Macaca fascicularis: one gene and its partner. The protein of the gene in region 2 interacts with the protein of the main gene of each other region in a pairwise test. Links are inferred from orthologs where the notes say so. Each region holds a gene or a part of one and is shown on either strand. Other genes may lie near its edges.

Region 1 (7,457 bases), on a different chromosome or scaffold from region 2:
AGATGGAGCCGGGCGCAGTGGCTCATGCCTGTAATCCAAGCACTTTGGGAGCCCAAGGCGGGCAGATCACGAGGTCAGGAGATCGAGACCATCCTGGCTAACACGGTGAAACCCCGTCTCTACGAAAAATACAAAAAAAATTAGCCAGGCGTGGTGGCAAGCGCCTGTAGTCCTAGCTACTAGGGAGGCTGAGGCAGGAGAATGGCATGAATCAGGAGGCGGAGCTTGCAGTGAGCCGAGATTGCGCCACCGCACTCCAGCCTGCGCGACAGAGCGAGACTCTGAGACTCCGTCTCAAAAAGAAAAAAAAAAAAATACAGATTGAGAGTCCGGGCACAGTGGCTCATGTATGTAATCCCAGCATTTTGGGAGACTGAGGCGGGCAGATCACAAGATCAGGAGATAGAGACCATCCTGGCCAACATGGTGAAACCGCGTCTGTACTAAAAAGACAAAAATTAGCCAGGCATGGTGGAGCGGGCCTGTAGTCCCAGCTACTTAGGAGGCTGAGGCAGGAGAATCGCTTGAACCCCGGTGGCGGAAATTGCAGTGAGCTGAGATTGTGCCACTGCACTCCAGCCTGTGCGACAGAGTGAGAGTCCATCTCAAAACAAACAAACAAAAAAACACAAGATACGGATAGAGACTACCATATACCTGCCCATATACATGCCTTTAAGACTCTGAATGTTGCCGGGCGCGGTGGCTCAAGCCTGTAATCCCAGCACTTTGGGAGGCTGAGACGAGCGGATCACGAAGTCAGGAGATCTGAGACCATCCTGGCTAACACGGTGAAACTCCGTCTCTATTAAAAAATACAAAAAAAAAAAATAGCAGGGCGAGGTGGCGGACGCCTGTAGTCCCAGCTACTCAGGAGGCTGAGGCAGGAGAATGGCGTGAACCCGGGAGGCTGAGCTTGCAGTGAGCCGAGATCAGACCACTGCACTCCAGCCTGGGCGACAGAGCGAGACTCCATCTCAAAAAAAAAAAAAAGACTGTGAATGTCAGTGGCTGGGCGCAGTCGCTCATGCCTGTAATCGTAGTACTTTGGGAGGCCAAGGTGGGCAGATCACCTGAGGTCAGGGGTTCAAGACCAGCCTGGCCAACCACCATGGTGAAACCCCATCTCTACTAAAAATACAAAAATTAGCCAGGCATGGTGACACATGCCTGCAATCCCAGCTACTTGGGAGGCTGAGGCAGGAAAGTCGCTTGAACCTAGGAGGCGGAGGTTGCAGAGAGCCAAGATTGCAGCACTGAACTCCATTCTGGGTGACAGAGTGAGACTCTGTCTCAAAAAAAAAAAAAAGACTGAATGTCATTTTAACAGCTACCAGGCACTTTCCATACTCATAGCTAATTTTCTCACAGGTGCACTGTTTTCCAGAGACAGAACCATTAGGCGACAGGTCCAAAACCTGCAGCTTGTGTGCGCAGCACTGTGCCCTACACTCCCCTCTGGCAGGCCTGGGAGACAGAAAGGGAAATCCCTGCTGGTCACTGAGGGATGGAGCAAAGCCCACCAGCCTGAGATGACCCAGAAAAGCAAATGCATCTGGCCAGAAAGTCCTGCCTAAAGCACACGTTTGATCCCGGACAGGCTTCCCACCTCACCCTGCAACCCCTACTGAAGATAAACAAATCCAGGACCCCCAACTCCACGCCTAATGCACAGCTGACAACTGTCTTGCAATGGACATTGCTGTGCCCAACCCTGGGCGAAGGCTCTACACCTTCAAGCCCTTGGCCTACCAAGATCCAGCTACTCTAGAGGACTGCTGGTATCCTCCAAAGGGAAGCTTGGGGCAGGGATAAATTGAAGCCAGAATCTTAGGGGGCCCTGAGAGGACTCACCCAAGGCCCAGGCATGGCAGCCAGAGGGCCCCCCAACCCTGCCCAGGATCAGGCCCAGAATGTCCTCTCCAGCAGGCACAGCAGCTCAACTGCACCACAGCAGGCTGCCCAGCCCAGCCCTGCAGCAGCCTGCAACCCCAGGACAAGGGTTCAAGTTCCAGCTCTACCACTTGCTGTAGTGGTCCCTTCTCCAGTCTCTGTGTCCTCTTTACACAGAATCAAAAGACACTTCCGACTCATAGAAAGATTATGACAATTCAATGAGAAAATTCTAGCAAAGTGAGCCCCCAGAACCTAAAAACAGCTCAACAATTTTTTTTTTTTTACTTATTATTACTGGGTCCTCCAGGTGGGCCTCGTGCAAGGGCCAGCCGGGCATCCCTGCCAGCTGCCAAACCCATCATCTGGCCCAAGTCTAGGTATTGACTGGGAACTTCAGAGTAGCCTTAAGGTGGGGACCCCTGGGGCAGCGGGTTGGGCAGGAGTTGTCTACACGTGTGCAGCAACCTTCCCTCCAGGCCGGATTCCGAGGCGCTAGTGACCACCAGCCTGTGCCACACCGGCGGGCTCCTCCTCCCTCAATCCCCGCCCAGACTGCCTCGGGCGGCAGAGCACGTGGCTCCAGCCCTGGGGAGCCATTTCGCTCCTGGAGCAGCGCGGCAGGAAAGGGGCCGCAGGTCCCAAACTTGCGCACTCCGTAGAACGCCCACCTCCCCCATACCCCGCCCGGGGGGTCGTTCAAAATGCAGATGTCCGGGCGCCAGCGATCAGAGTTCCAGGCATGTGCATTTTAAGAAGTGTGCGGGGTGGTTTAGCTGTGTGTGGTCCTTGAATCCATCACCCTTTGGGTTTCGAGCAACCTAGGACCAAAGCTTGCAAAGTGGCTTCTGGGGAGGCCTGCGGATCTCGGGCCACCCACCCCGCCTGGGGACCCGACGCTTTCGATTTACGGCAGGGGGAGGGGCGTTGGATGGGAAAGTTTGCAGAGGAAACCCACGTGCGGCGGGAAGCTGCCCTGCGAGGCTAGAGGCAGCCTCAGGTGTCCCCTCCCCAAAAGGCCTGCCCACCTGGCCTGCCTTGCCCACCGTGCCCATGGGTCCGAGCTTTGTGCAGGGAAAGCGTGGCCCAGGAGCGCCTACAAATCCCACAATGCTGCACCAGCAGGATGCGGAGAACTACAGCTCCCGCGAGGCCGCGCGCAGAGGTCCGCCTACTCCAAGAGGGCTGCAGAGTCACGTCCAGGCCTCGCTAGTAAACAGCGCCCGGGAGCGGGCGGGCGAGCGAGCGGCAGCCAACGTGCCCCGGGCCGCGGCGCCCCTACCGGCCGCGCGGGCCCCTCGGGGCCCGCCCACCCCCCACACCCACACGCGAGCACGCCCCCAACCCCGCTGCAGCCCCACTCTGCAAACACGCACAGTGCCCGGCTCCCCGCCCCCACCCCGCGCCGGGAGCCGCGGCATGGCTGCATTGTAGCCGCCCTAGCTACACCCCCACGCGCGCCCCGGCCCCCGAGACCCCCTTGGATGGGGACGACCTAAGATCGCGAGGAAGGAAGGAGAGGAAGGAAGCCGCCGCGGGAGGGGGAAAGAGGAAGCGCGGGGGGGAAGGCCACCAGCACCAAGCATGGCCGGGACTGCTGCAGAACCACGTGGGTCTGTTTGCAATTTACAAACGTTGCGACTCGCCCGCCTGCAGCGGACAAAAGTGGCCGGGGCCGCTTGGGGCCCCCATGCTCCAAGGGAGGAGGGTCCCGGGGCGGCGCGAACCCGGCGCGTGGGGCTGCAGCCGTCCCGGCAGCTAAGAAAGGCTAGCGGGGTCGGCGGCGCGGGCCATGCGTGCGCACACGCGCGCCCGCCCGGGCGGGCTAGCCGGGGGCTGCAATGGTAGGAAGGGGGTGGGGGAAGGAGGAGTACACACCTACAGAGCCCTCCTATCACTTCTTTCTCTGTTTTCCTGAAATGTTGCAAAGAGGGCACCTTCTGAGTGGGCACCATGAAATACTCCATAGCGATCGGCCCCCCTCCTCTGCACGAGCCAGGTCCCGCGATCAGCCGGAGAATGCAAGATGGAAATCCGAATCAAAGGGCAGCGCCGGACGGAGGTGCAGAATCGGCCGGTCCCAGATGCTGGCGGCGGCGGCGGCGGCGGCGGCGGCTGCGAGGGGAGGGAGGCGGGCGGGAGGGGCGGGAGGGAGGTCTCTCCGGCCTGCCTCCCCGGGCGTGTGTATGTGTGTGTGTGTGTGTGTTTGCAGCTGATCAGATGTCTGTTTCAAGGCGGGAAACAGCTGGTGAAAACTCAGCACTCCCCCGGCCTCCTTCCGCGGAGTAAGGAATTGCATGTAAACAAAGGACTATTTGCAGCGCCCCCCAGGCGGCGCGAGGCCGGGGCGAGAGGGGCGCGGGCCCCCGGGGACCGGCTGCAGCCGGGGTCTGCAGGCCTCTCGCTGGGCACAGGGGGCCGGGGGCCGCGGGCGGGCTTGGGGGGCGCGGCGTGAATGGAGCGAGCTGCGGCCGAGCTACATGCGCCACTATGGGTGATGAGGTCCATCAGCTGACAGGTTGGCAAGCGTTGAAAAAAAAAAAAAAAAGGCCAGCCACCGCGCGGGGAGGCCAGCCTGTGCAGCCCGGGGTCCAGCGGCGACTGCCCAGTGCAGGGTCCGCGCGCTCGGCCGGCCCGCGGGGAGGAGGGGGCGCGGCTGGGTCGGGCGTGCTGCGGCAGCAAGGAAGGCGGCCTGGGGTTCGCGCTTGGGGCTTCTGCTTTTTCACCATTGCAACTGCACCGAGCGGAGCCTCTCCGGTGTGCTCCCTTCGAGCCAAGCCCAGGGCCCCCTGGAAACTTGCGTCACAGCCACCGCTTCCCACATGTAACTTGGGGCTGACTTCCGAGGCCGGCCAGCCTCCTCTCTCCCTCCCTGCTGAGCTGCGCGCCGCTGGACGCACGGCAAGGACTCCGGATCCTGGGAATCCTGGACCTGGCGAGGGGACGGCAAAGGGCGCCTCGGATGCTGGGGCCGCCCTAGGAAACCCGGGCCCCCGGCGGAGAGGGGAAGGTGGAGGCGGGCCCGAACGGCAGCGGCCCCCGGGCCCAGGCTGCCGGCGCTGCCGGGAGGTCTGCTGGTTGCTGCCGGGTGTCCTGCTATTCCCCCCAGACCCCCACTGTTCCCTCCGCGGGCTGAAGGCTGCAGCTTCTCATTCATAACAAAGCCCGAGTGGGACTTGCACCTCCGCCAGGGTGCGCTCCCTACGAGGGGGTGACGACTTAGGGCAGGGACGGGGACCCTGGCGGCGAGCTTCCGTCCTCCGCTCGCACGCCCCACCTTCCGGCCCCAGGCCCTCCCTTGGCTCCTGGAGGGTTGGCTTCTGGCTCAGGAAGCCCACGCCTGCCTTGGAATGTCCTGGATCCTGCCCACAGCCTTCCAGGTTCCGCCTAAATCGCGCCTCCTAATTTGACTTATTCCTACTAGTAACAATAGTTACTGTTATTATTGGGAAATATTGTTATTAGATGTTGCCAGCACCCGGTGGATGCAGAACAGTTTTGCATACATGCTCTCCAATCCTTGAAGCAACCTGTTAGGCAGTTTCTCTAAGGAGAGATCCCAGACCACTTCACAAAAAAAGTCTCTGGAAGGCTTACTATATTTTTATTTAAAACAAACAAACAAACAAACTTTCGGCCGGGTGCGGTGGCTCACCCCTGTAATCTCAGCACTTTGGGAGGCTGAGGCAGGTGGATCACCTGAGGTCGGGAGTTCAAGACCAGCCTGACCAACACGGAGAAACCCTGTCTCTACTAAAAATACAAAATTAGCCGGGGGCGTGGTGGCGCATGCCTGTAATCCCAGCTACTTGGGAGGCTGAAGCAGGAGAATCGCTTGAACCAGGAGGTGGAGGCTGCAGTGAGCCAAGATCGTGCCATTGCACACCAGCCTGGGCAACAAGAGCGAAACTCCATCTCAAAAAAAAAAAACAACAACAACAAAAAACTTTTTACTGTTTTTCATGAATAGAGATGGGAGTCTCACTATGTTGCCCAGCCTGGTCTTGAACTCCTGGGACTCAAGGAATCCTACCTCTACCTCCCAAATTGCTGGGATTACAAGCATGAACCATGGATGGCCCTGGCAGGAAGCCTATTTTTAACTGCCCCTAGTGAGCAAGCTATTTTTTTTTTTTTTTCAGATGGAGTCTTCCTCTGTTACCCAGGCTGGAGTGCAGTGGCACGATCTGAGCTCACTGCAACCTCCACCTCCTGGGTTCAAACGATTCTTCTGCCTCAGCCTCCCGAGTAGCTGTGGCTACAGGCACACACCACCAAGCCCGGCTAATTTTTGTATTTTTAGTACAGACGGGATTTTGCCATGTTAGCCAGGCTGGTCTTGAACTCCTGACCTCAGGCGATCTGCCTGCCCCAGTCCCCAAAGTGCTGGGATTGCAGGCATGAGCCACCTCACCCAGCAGTGAGCAAGCTATTCTGATGCATTACTGTCTCTTTATCCTCTCATTTTGAAGATGGAAAGACAGAGGCTCACAGTTGCAGATAAGGATGGACTCAGGAGTGCTGACTGCAGAAAGCCCTCGTTCTTTATATCACACTCATCCTCCCACCTGTCACACCTCACCTCTGATCAGGGCCTTATTTTGTACTTGCTTTTGTTCTTTTGCAGAGCAAAGCATTCTGTCATACTTGGTTATATGTGGCCTTCACATTGTTCTCTGGATGTCTCCCTGGTTCAATTTTTTTTTTTTTTTTTTTTTTTTTTTGAGACGGAGTCTCGCACTGTCGCCCAGGTTGGAGTGCAGTGGCGCGATCTCGGCTCACTGGAACCTCCGCCTCCCAGGTTCAAGTGATTCTCCTGTTCTCCTGCCTCAGCCTCCCAAGTAGCTGAGATTACAGACGCCCACCACCACACCTGGCTAAATTTTTTGTATTTTTAGTAGAGACAGGGTTTCGCTATGTTGGCCAGGCTGGTCTTGAACTCCTGACCTCGTGATCCATCCGCCTCTGCCTCCCAAAGTGCTGGGATTACAGGCGTGAGCTACTGCACCTGGCCTCCTTGGTCCAATTTTGTCTCCCAGAGAAGAGGGACTGTGCTTTTACTCTTTTTTCTCTTCGCGGGGGATGGTACAGGGCTGGGCACATACATGAACTGCAGAGAGTGACCTGCAAAGCTGATGTCCCTGGAGACAGCCTTGGCAGGAAGAATGAGAGGTAAACCCTAGGCACAAGTGGGTGGCCCAGGCAGACCCAGGAGCTGCCTGACCACACTGAACTGGGTAGCAGGTGCCCATTCCTTTTCCTAATAAATCAAGGAAGCCCCCCCAAAGCAGTGGCATTTGGAGTCCGGCCCAGGGGATGACAGAGACCTGCTTTTTAATTTGTCTTGGAAGTCATTTCTCGGCCGACACAGACTCTGGTTCCTGGGGCAAGAGTTGAGGTCGCAAAATGTAAGAGAGTGCCAAAGATCTCAACACCCAAGATAAATTATGTTGGGTTTTCCTTGTTGTTATTGTTGTTTCTCAGACACAGTCTCAGTCTGTTACCCAGGCTGGAGTGCAGTGGTGCAATCTCGACTCACGGCAACCTCCGTCTCCCAGGTTCAA
Region 2 (6,614 bases):
GCAAGTTAGTTTCACAAGACCTCCAAGTGATTCTAATGTATGTCTTAAGTTTAAGAATCACTGACGTATACCATTAAGATGGAAGAAAATTTGAGGTAGCTAAGAAACTACAGTAAACTTAAATTAGGTAAATGAAATATCCCATATTCCATTTGGCCCTCCCTAATTTAAGGCTCACACTGAGTTTTCATCTACATATGTTTAGGACTGAAGTGGCAGGAACATGCCTGGTTTGTGAAGACAACAGAGCTTGCCTTCCTCATCCATTACTATTGTTAAGGTTCCTGTTGCCAGATGTTCCTCCTCTCCAGTAGGGTCAACTATAAGCAAAGTGCTATAAAAAGAAAAAAGTATAAGTTATCAATCCATGGAACAAATTTTACTTTAAAAATACTAAACATACTGTCAGCCTCCCAAGTAGCTGGAATTACAGGTACACACCATCACACCTAGCTAATTTTTGTATTTTTAGTAGAGACAGGGTTTCACCGACTTGGCCAGGCTGGTCTCGAACTCCTGACCTCAGGTGATACCCTGCCTCAGCCTCCCAAAGTGCTGGCATTACAGGCATGACCCACCATGCCTCGCCCTGCTCTACTATTTCTGAATGTGCTAAAATCCTTGGAAAATACTGAAGATAGCTTCAGGTAAATCTTTAGTGAAAGAATTAGAAATTAACATTACACAGGTATAAGTAAACCAAGGAACAGGTAAAGTGAACACAATTATCATCCAAATCAGGATGCTTATGAAAGCAGACAGGTTGACTATAAATAATTGTGCAGGGACAAGTATAAACTCAAGTGTCCAGGGAAAACTAGGATGTAGAGTCAGACTCATAGCACTTCCTGAAGAGTTAGAATGCTGAACATCAATTACCCAAATCTTAAATATAGAAAATTTTAAAGTAAGTTTGATTAACTTACTCATCAAACACAGCAAAGGAAGTTGCAACTGGATGAGTTCTAATATTCAAATAACTTTTCTTCTTTAAATTAACTTCTGCTAAAGCAGTTTCTTCATTTATAGTAACTTCAGGCAACTGTACTAAGAAAAGGCAAATTTGTAAAGTAAGTCTCTAAGAAACAAATGGTTTCTAAGCTTTTTTTTTTTTTTTTTAATTCACCTTTCCCTCGATTGAACTTGCCCAGAACATTTCTTTTTAAAAAGCACCTTACAGCCACTAAGGTAAATACAGAGGATATACATTGCTCTTCACAACATCTGACATGCCTACCTAGTGCTTATTGCATAATTTTTTTAAGTTTAAGAAGTCAAAATGATTTTTTTTTAAATTTTTAGAGATCGGGTCTTGTTTTGTTGCCCAGGCTAGAACTAAATTCCTAGCAATCTTCCCACCTCAACCTCCCCAGTAGCTGGGTGGGACTATAGGCATGTGCCACTGTACCCAGTTTTGAAATGAAAATGATTACTAATAGATAACATGTCTAGCTAATTTGTATATGCCAGGTACTGTTTTACGCATTTCCACATTTTCACTGTATTCACCTAATCAATACTCTTAGAAACTAAATACTATTATCCCTATTTTATTATAGATAAGGAAACTTCAGCACAGAGTGACAGAGCCAGGAATCAAACCTAAGTCTCTGCTTTAACCACTCTGTTACAATATTGTGCTAACTTCATTTTCTACCTCCAATTCACTTAACCACTCTATTATAATATTGCTGTGCTAACTTTATTTTCCACCTCCAATTATTTGTTCCTACCAATTCATCATTCACCAATGATAGGGAATATGCACAAGTTATTGAAATCTGTAACTAATCAGTCAACCTAGACTCCTTGCTAAGAAACTTCACTATTACTATGGCCTCACAGTAAAAAGAACAGAATCCATTCTAATTCTTTTGGCAATATCACATAAAGAACTATGAGGATACTGGCAGATCTTCACCAATGACCTAGCCAGAAGTTACAAGTCTTGTCTCCCTCTCCCACCATTATTAACACTATTATGGAAAGGACTGAAGTCCTAACCTAAGTAGACGGGTACAGTCAAAGCAGCACTCTAAAGAGCATTCAGTTAGAGAATATACAACTATCAACTATATTTGGAAAGTAATGGCAGTATTACATTCATTAATTTGGAAGCATACGAAAGCAAATGTACATTAAAAGTTTCACAAAACAGAACATTCTAACCCATTAGTGGGAATATTGTCGTTTTTGTAAGGCTGCTTACCATTTTTTAAAGCCGCTAACAAAGCAAATGTGCAGGCATCCAAAATGTTTCCATCATAGTCGAGGCAAATGAGATCACAGTATAGAACCCAGGCAAGCTAAAATAGAATTAACACAAAAGGAAATTAAAGCCTTCTAATGGGTAGAACATGCTATTCACTTAGACTTAAGAACCACAGAACCCTTGGTTAAACAAGCAAGATAACCTTCAAGGCTCAAAAACCTTAAGAAAATGCTTTACCTTTTTCAAGTAGAAAACCAGAAGAAAGTGGACAGGTTTGGTGAAAGCTGGCTTTTGATTGCCAAGCTGACAAATGACAAACATGTCCATTTCCCTTAATGGAGCTACAGATGTAGAAGGAATTTCCATTCTTAGTGGGAGGTTACAGATAAGGAAGATGGTTTTGAAAGCCCTAGCTAAAATTCAAAATGCACTTTCCCATAATACATGAAATGTTTAGGTTTTACAGTGCTAACGTATCAGTTTATGGAAAGCCTCTCTAGGTTCTAATCAACCTAGTTTTACATTTTCAAATAGACTTTGGAATCTACTGTGGATTCACCAAAAACATATGTTAATATGATCAATGTTATAATCTGCTATAAGGAATAAAAAATGATTGAACTTTTCTCTAAAGGTTAAGGGGGGAAAAAATTACTTCAGTTTAAAAGGTAGCTCCCAGACAGGTGGTAAGTTAGTCAAACTTGTTTTTTATAAACAATATGGTTCACTTAGAGCATTATAGAGTAAGAAATGACTGAATCTCTAAAATCTGTAAAGCAGCCATATTTAAGGCTACTTTGATTGGTGATTTTAATTTCCTTGTTCCCTTTCCCCCACAAAAAAAATCTCTTCAGAATTAATAAGAACTTATAGCTTCTCTATTCCTCTTACCTTCCCTGGAGAAATGCACAAGTCCTCTTTCTGAATTATCTGTGAACTTGATTTAATGACAAAGAGCAAAGTAAATGAAAAGTCAAAAACTATCTGAAAATGAATTACAGTAAAATTTTATCATGGTGCTCTTACTTTTCAATGACATCTGCAATGAACTGGCTAGCCACTTGGGCCTCTTCTCCAGGAGGTCCAGACCGGAATCTCGATGAACACAGAGGTGGTAGATCCACATTAGGAACTGAAAGAAACACTCTGCAGCTATGAACTAAATTTTTTTTTTTTTTTTTTGAGATGGAGTCTTGCTCTGTCACCAGGCTGGAGTGCAGTGGCGCGATCTCCGCTCACTGCAGCCTCTACCTTCCAGGTTCAAGAGATTTCCCTGCCTCAGCCTCCCAAGCAGCTGGGATTACAGGCATGTGCCACCACGCCCAGCTAATTTTTTTGTATTTTGGTAGACGGGGTTTTATCATATTGGTTAAGATGGTCTCGATTTCCTGACCTCATGATCCACCTGCCTCAGCCTCCCAAAGTGCTGGGATTACAGGCGTGAGCCACCATGCCCGGCCTAAACTTTTTAATTTATGGATTATCAAAGTGTTAAAGGTATCAATCCACAGTAAAGGCAGCTGTGGCCATGGACAGGCTTTTCTGAATAGAGTACATTGTAACATAGTTACATTCTGCTTGGTCTCTGTAAGACTCCCAGGCATGAAATTTGTATTTTTCTGACTTTTTTCCCCCCATATGCATTTTTTAAAAATCTATTTTAGACTTCAATTCTCCTAAATCCTTTACAAGTTTTCCTGGTATCTTTCAAAATACCTCAATCTGTAACTGAAGATAGACCCTCTGCTAACATCCAACTGTTTTTCTCATTTAAGAAAATGTTGGTTCCTACCGTAAAGAACAGATGGTTCCAAGACAAGAAAAAAAATAGCAGTTGTATAAAGCAAAGAATCTTTATGGAAACAAAAAATGTGCAATGACAGTTCTTTGACTAAAAAAAATTCCATTCTATTTTTTTCTTTTGAAACAGGATTTCACTCTGTCACTCAGGCTTGAATGCAGTGATACAATCATATTTCATTGTAGCCTTGACCTCCCAGGCTCAAGCAATCCCCCTGCTTCAGCCTCCCAAGTAGTTGGGACACAGGTGTGCACCAGCACACCCAGCTAACTTGATTTTTTTGTAGAGACGGGGGGTCTCCTTTGTTCCCCAGGCTGGTCTCGAACTCCTGGGCTGAAGCAATCCTGCAGTCTTGGCCTCCCAAAATCCTGGTATTACAGGTGTGAGTCACCACACCCAGCCAAAGTTCTATTTTCTTGGTTAGTAACATATGAATATATAAACAAAAATTGAGCAAGCAAGTTTGATAAAGATTAAATTTATGAAATTCTATATCCTGCTATTATGCTATCTTTTACTAATACGGAAAACTTTTGAGGAATTTGTTTTATTGTTAAATATTTCTGAATATTAGGAATAATTTTCTTTACATCAACTCAACTAGGACTTCACTAAAATTATTATTAAATGTGTTAGAAGTATTAGTATTAAAATTACAAAACCATTTAACTTACCAACATATCCTTTATCAGGGGCATCTGTTGGTGGTGCTGCAAATTCCTATAGTAGCAAAGAAATGTTTCCTATTGAAACAAGCTACTGAAAAATTATGAAGACAACTTAGCAATCAGTTATGGAAGGCTCTATCAAATATCAGCTTAGGGAATTGTGCCAGGGCCTCTAAGGACATTGGTGCTGATCCTCACAGTAGCTCTACAAGATAAGAAGGCACTATAGTACAGTGGACTACACTATAGTGCTGCTCATCAAGATTACCTGGAGATCTTTTGAAAAACAGTAATTGAGTTTGTGCCCCCACCTAGTAGCCAAGAATCTTAATTTATTCCCCACATGGTAGAGCCAGATTTAGGAATTGCTGCTTTAGTGGTAAACAGCAAAAGCTCAGCTGGGCACGGTGGCTCACACCTGTAATCCCAGCACTTTGGGAGGCAGAGGCGGGCGGATCACCTGAGGTCAGGAGTTTGAGACCAGCCTGGCCAAGACGGCAAAACCCCGTCTCTACTAAAAACACAAAAATTAGCCAGGCGTGGTGGCAGGCGCCTGTAATCCCAGCTACTTGGGAGGCTGAGGCAGGAGAATCACTTGGAACCCGGGAAGCAGAAGTTGCAGTGAGCCGAGAGCCTGCCACTGCACTCCAACCTGAGCAACAGAGCCAGACTCCGTCTCAAAAAAAAAAAAAAAAAAAAAAAAAGAGCAAACGCTCTGCAATTAGCAAGCCTGTTCAAATGTCAGAGCCACGTTTACTGGCTAACTTTAGGCAAGTTATTTAACCTCTAACCTTAAACTCCTCATCTGTCAAATGGGAAGAAAATAGTGTCTACTCCTAGGGTCTGTTAATAAGGGCCAAATGAGATAAACCTGTTAAATCCCAGGCATAAAACCCGATAAGGAGCAAGTTCTCAAATCGTCTTGTTATATATCACTCCAGGTTTACCAAAGAAGAATCTCAACTAAGTGTTAAATAACACAGGGTGTATTGTAGTGAAAGAAGCACAGGCTTTGGAGTCAGATTTATGTCTCAAGTTTTACTTATGAGTCTTATGTACCTGGAGAGGTTACTGAACCTCATCTATAAAACAGGAGGTGGAGAAAAATAACAAATGATTGTTGTAGGGATTAAAGTGGATTATTCTGTAAAGTGCCTAAAAAGGTGTCTGGAACATAGCAGGTACTCAGTAAATGGTAGCCATTATTCCCTCAAATTTTTCTTTTCAACAATTTCAATTTTCCACACATTTACACAGATTACATGTCATCACTGGCTAAAAGGATGTCACCAAAAATCTGTTAATTTCTCAAATGATATAACCAAATGTTTTAAAAATTAAGGGTGGCTAAGATTTTTAAAGTTGTTTCATTTTGGTACATTTGACAAATGTTCAGTCATTAAACTTGGGTCATATTATTTAACACTCATAGTGAAAGCTCTTGGGAAATTAAATATTAAAAACTGACACCCAACTGTCAAATCAAGAGTGGAATTATAGGTGTATATTACAATCTAATAAAGAAAGCTAACTTTGTAACTCAAATCTCAATAGGACATATTTAGAGTTACCGCTTTAACTCCACAGATCACTGTAGTATTTCCCAACTTCACTAAAGCAGAACCATCTGCGGTACTAATTGAACCTGAAAAGATAAGCAAAGTGAAAAGTGCATGAAAGGAAAACAGCTACAAAATTATCTACATAATCATTAAAATTAAGTGTTTTAGCTTGCTGTGTATGATTATCTTGCTACCCCTCTCAGTTGCTTATGAATATTTCGTTAGAATAATTGATTTTTACATAACTATTTTAAATTAGTGTTTAAATAATTATTCACCTGTCCTTGAATTTGTGTTAATCATTTTTCATTCAGTTACAGGGCTTTTGTACAGATAAAAATCTCTTCACACAAAAAATCATCAAATTCTTT

The links.
Region 1: the proteins of EXOSC8 (region 2) and TFAP4 interact in binary tests that used the Homo sapiens proteins (3 or more experiments, as listed by UniProt). The two-hybrid records come from large-scale screens. The link is inferred for Macaca fascicularis from reciprocal best matches to the Homo sapiens genes EXOSC8 and TFAP4.

The regions. Positions count from the first base shown.
Region 1 is NC_088394.1:5,060,159-5,067,615, forward strand, and holds the start of TFAP4 (transcription factor AP-4), read right to left. Parts: upstream 4,120-7,457; 5' UTR 3,861-4,119; coding exon 3,772-3,860; intron 1-3,771.
Region 2 is NC_088391.1:16,549,688-16,556,301, reverse strand, and holds part of EXOSC8 (exosome complex component RRP43), read right to left. Parts: intron 6,327-6,614; coding exon 6,253-6,326; intron 4,734-6,252; coding exon 4,688-4,733; intron 3,345-4,687; coding exon 3,239-3,344; intron 3,150-3,238; coding exon 3,104-3,149; intron 2,307-3,103; coding exon 2,210-2,306; intron 1,048-2,209; coding exon 927-1,047; intron 335-926; coding exon 228-334; intron 1-227. UniProt on the Homo sapiens protein: Non-catalytic component of the RNA exosome complex which has 3'->5' exoribonuclease activity and participates in a multitude of cellular RNA processing and degradation events.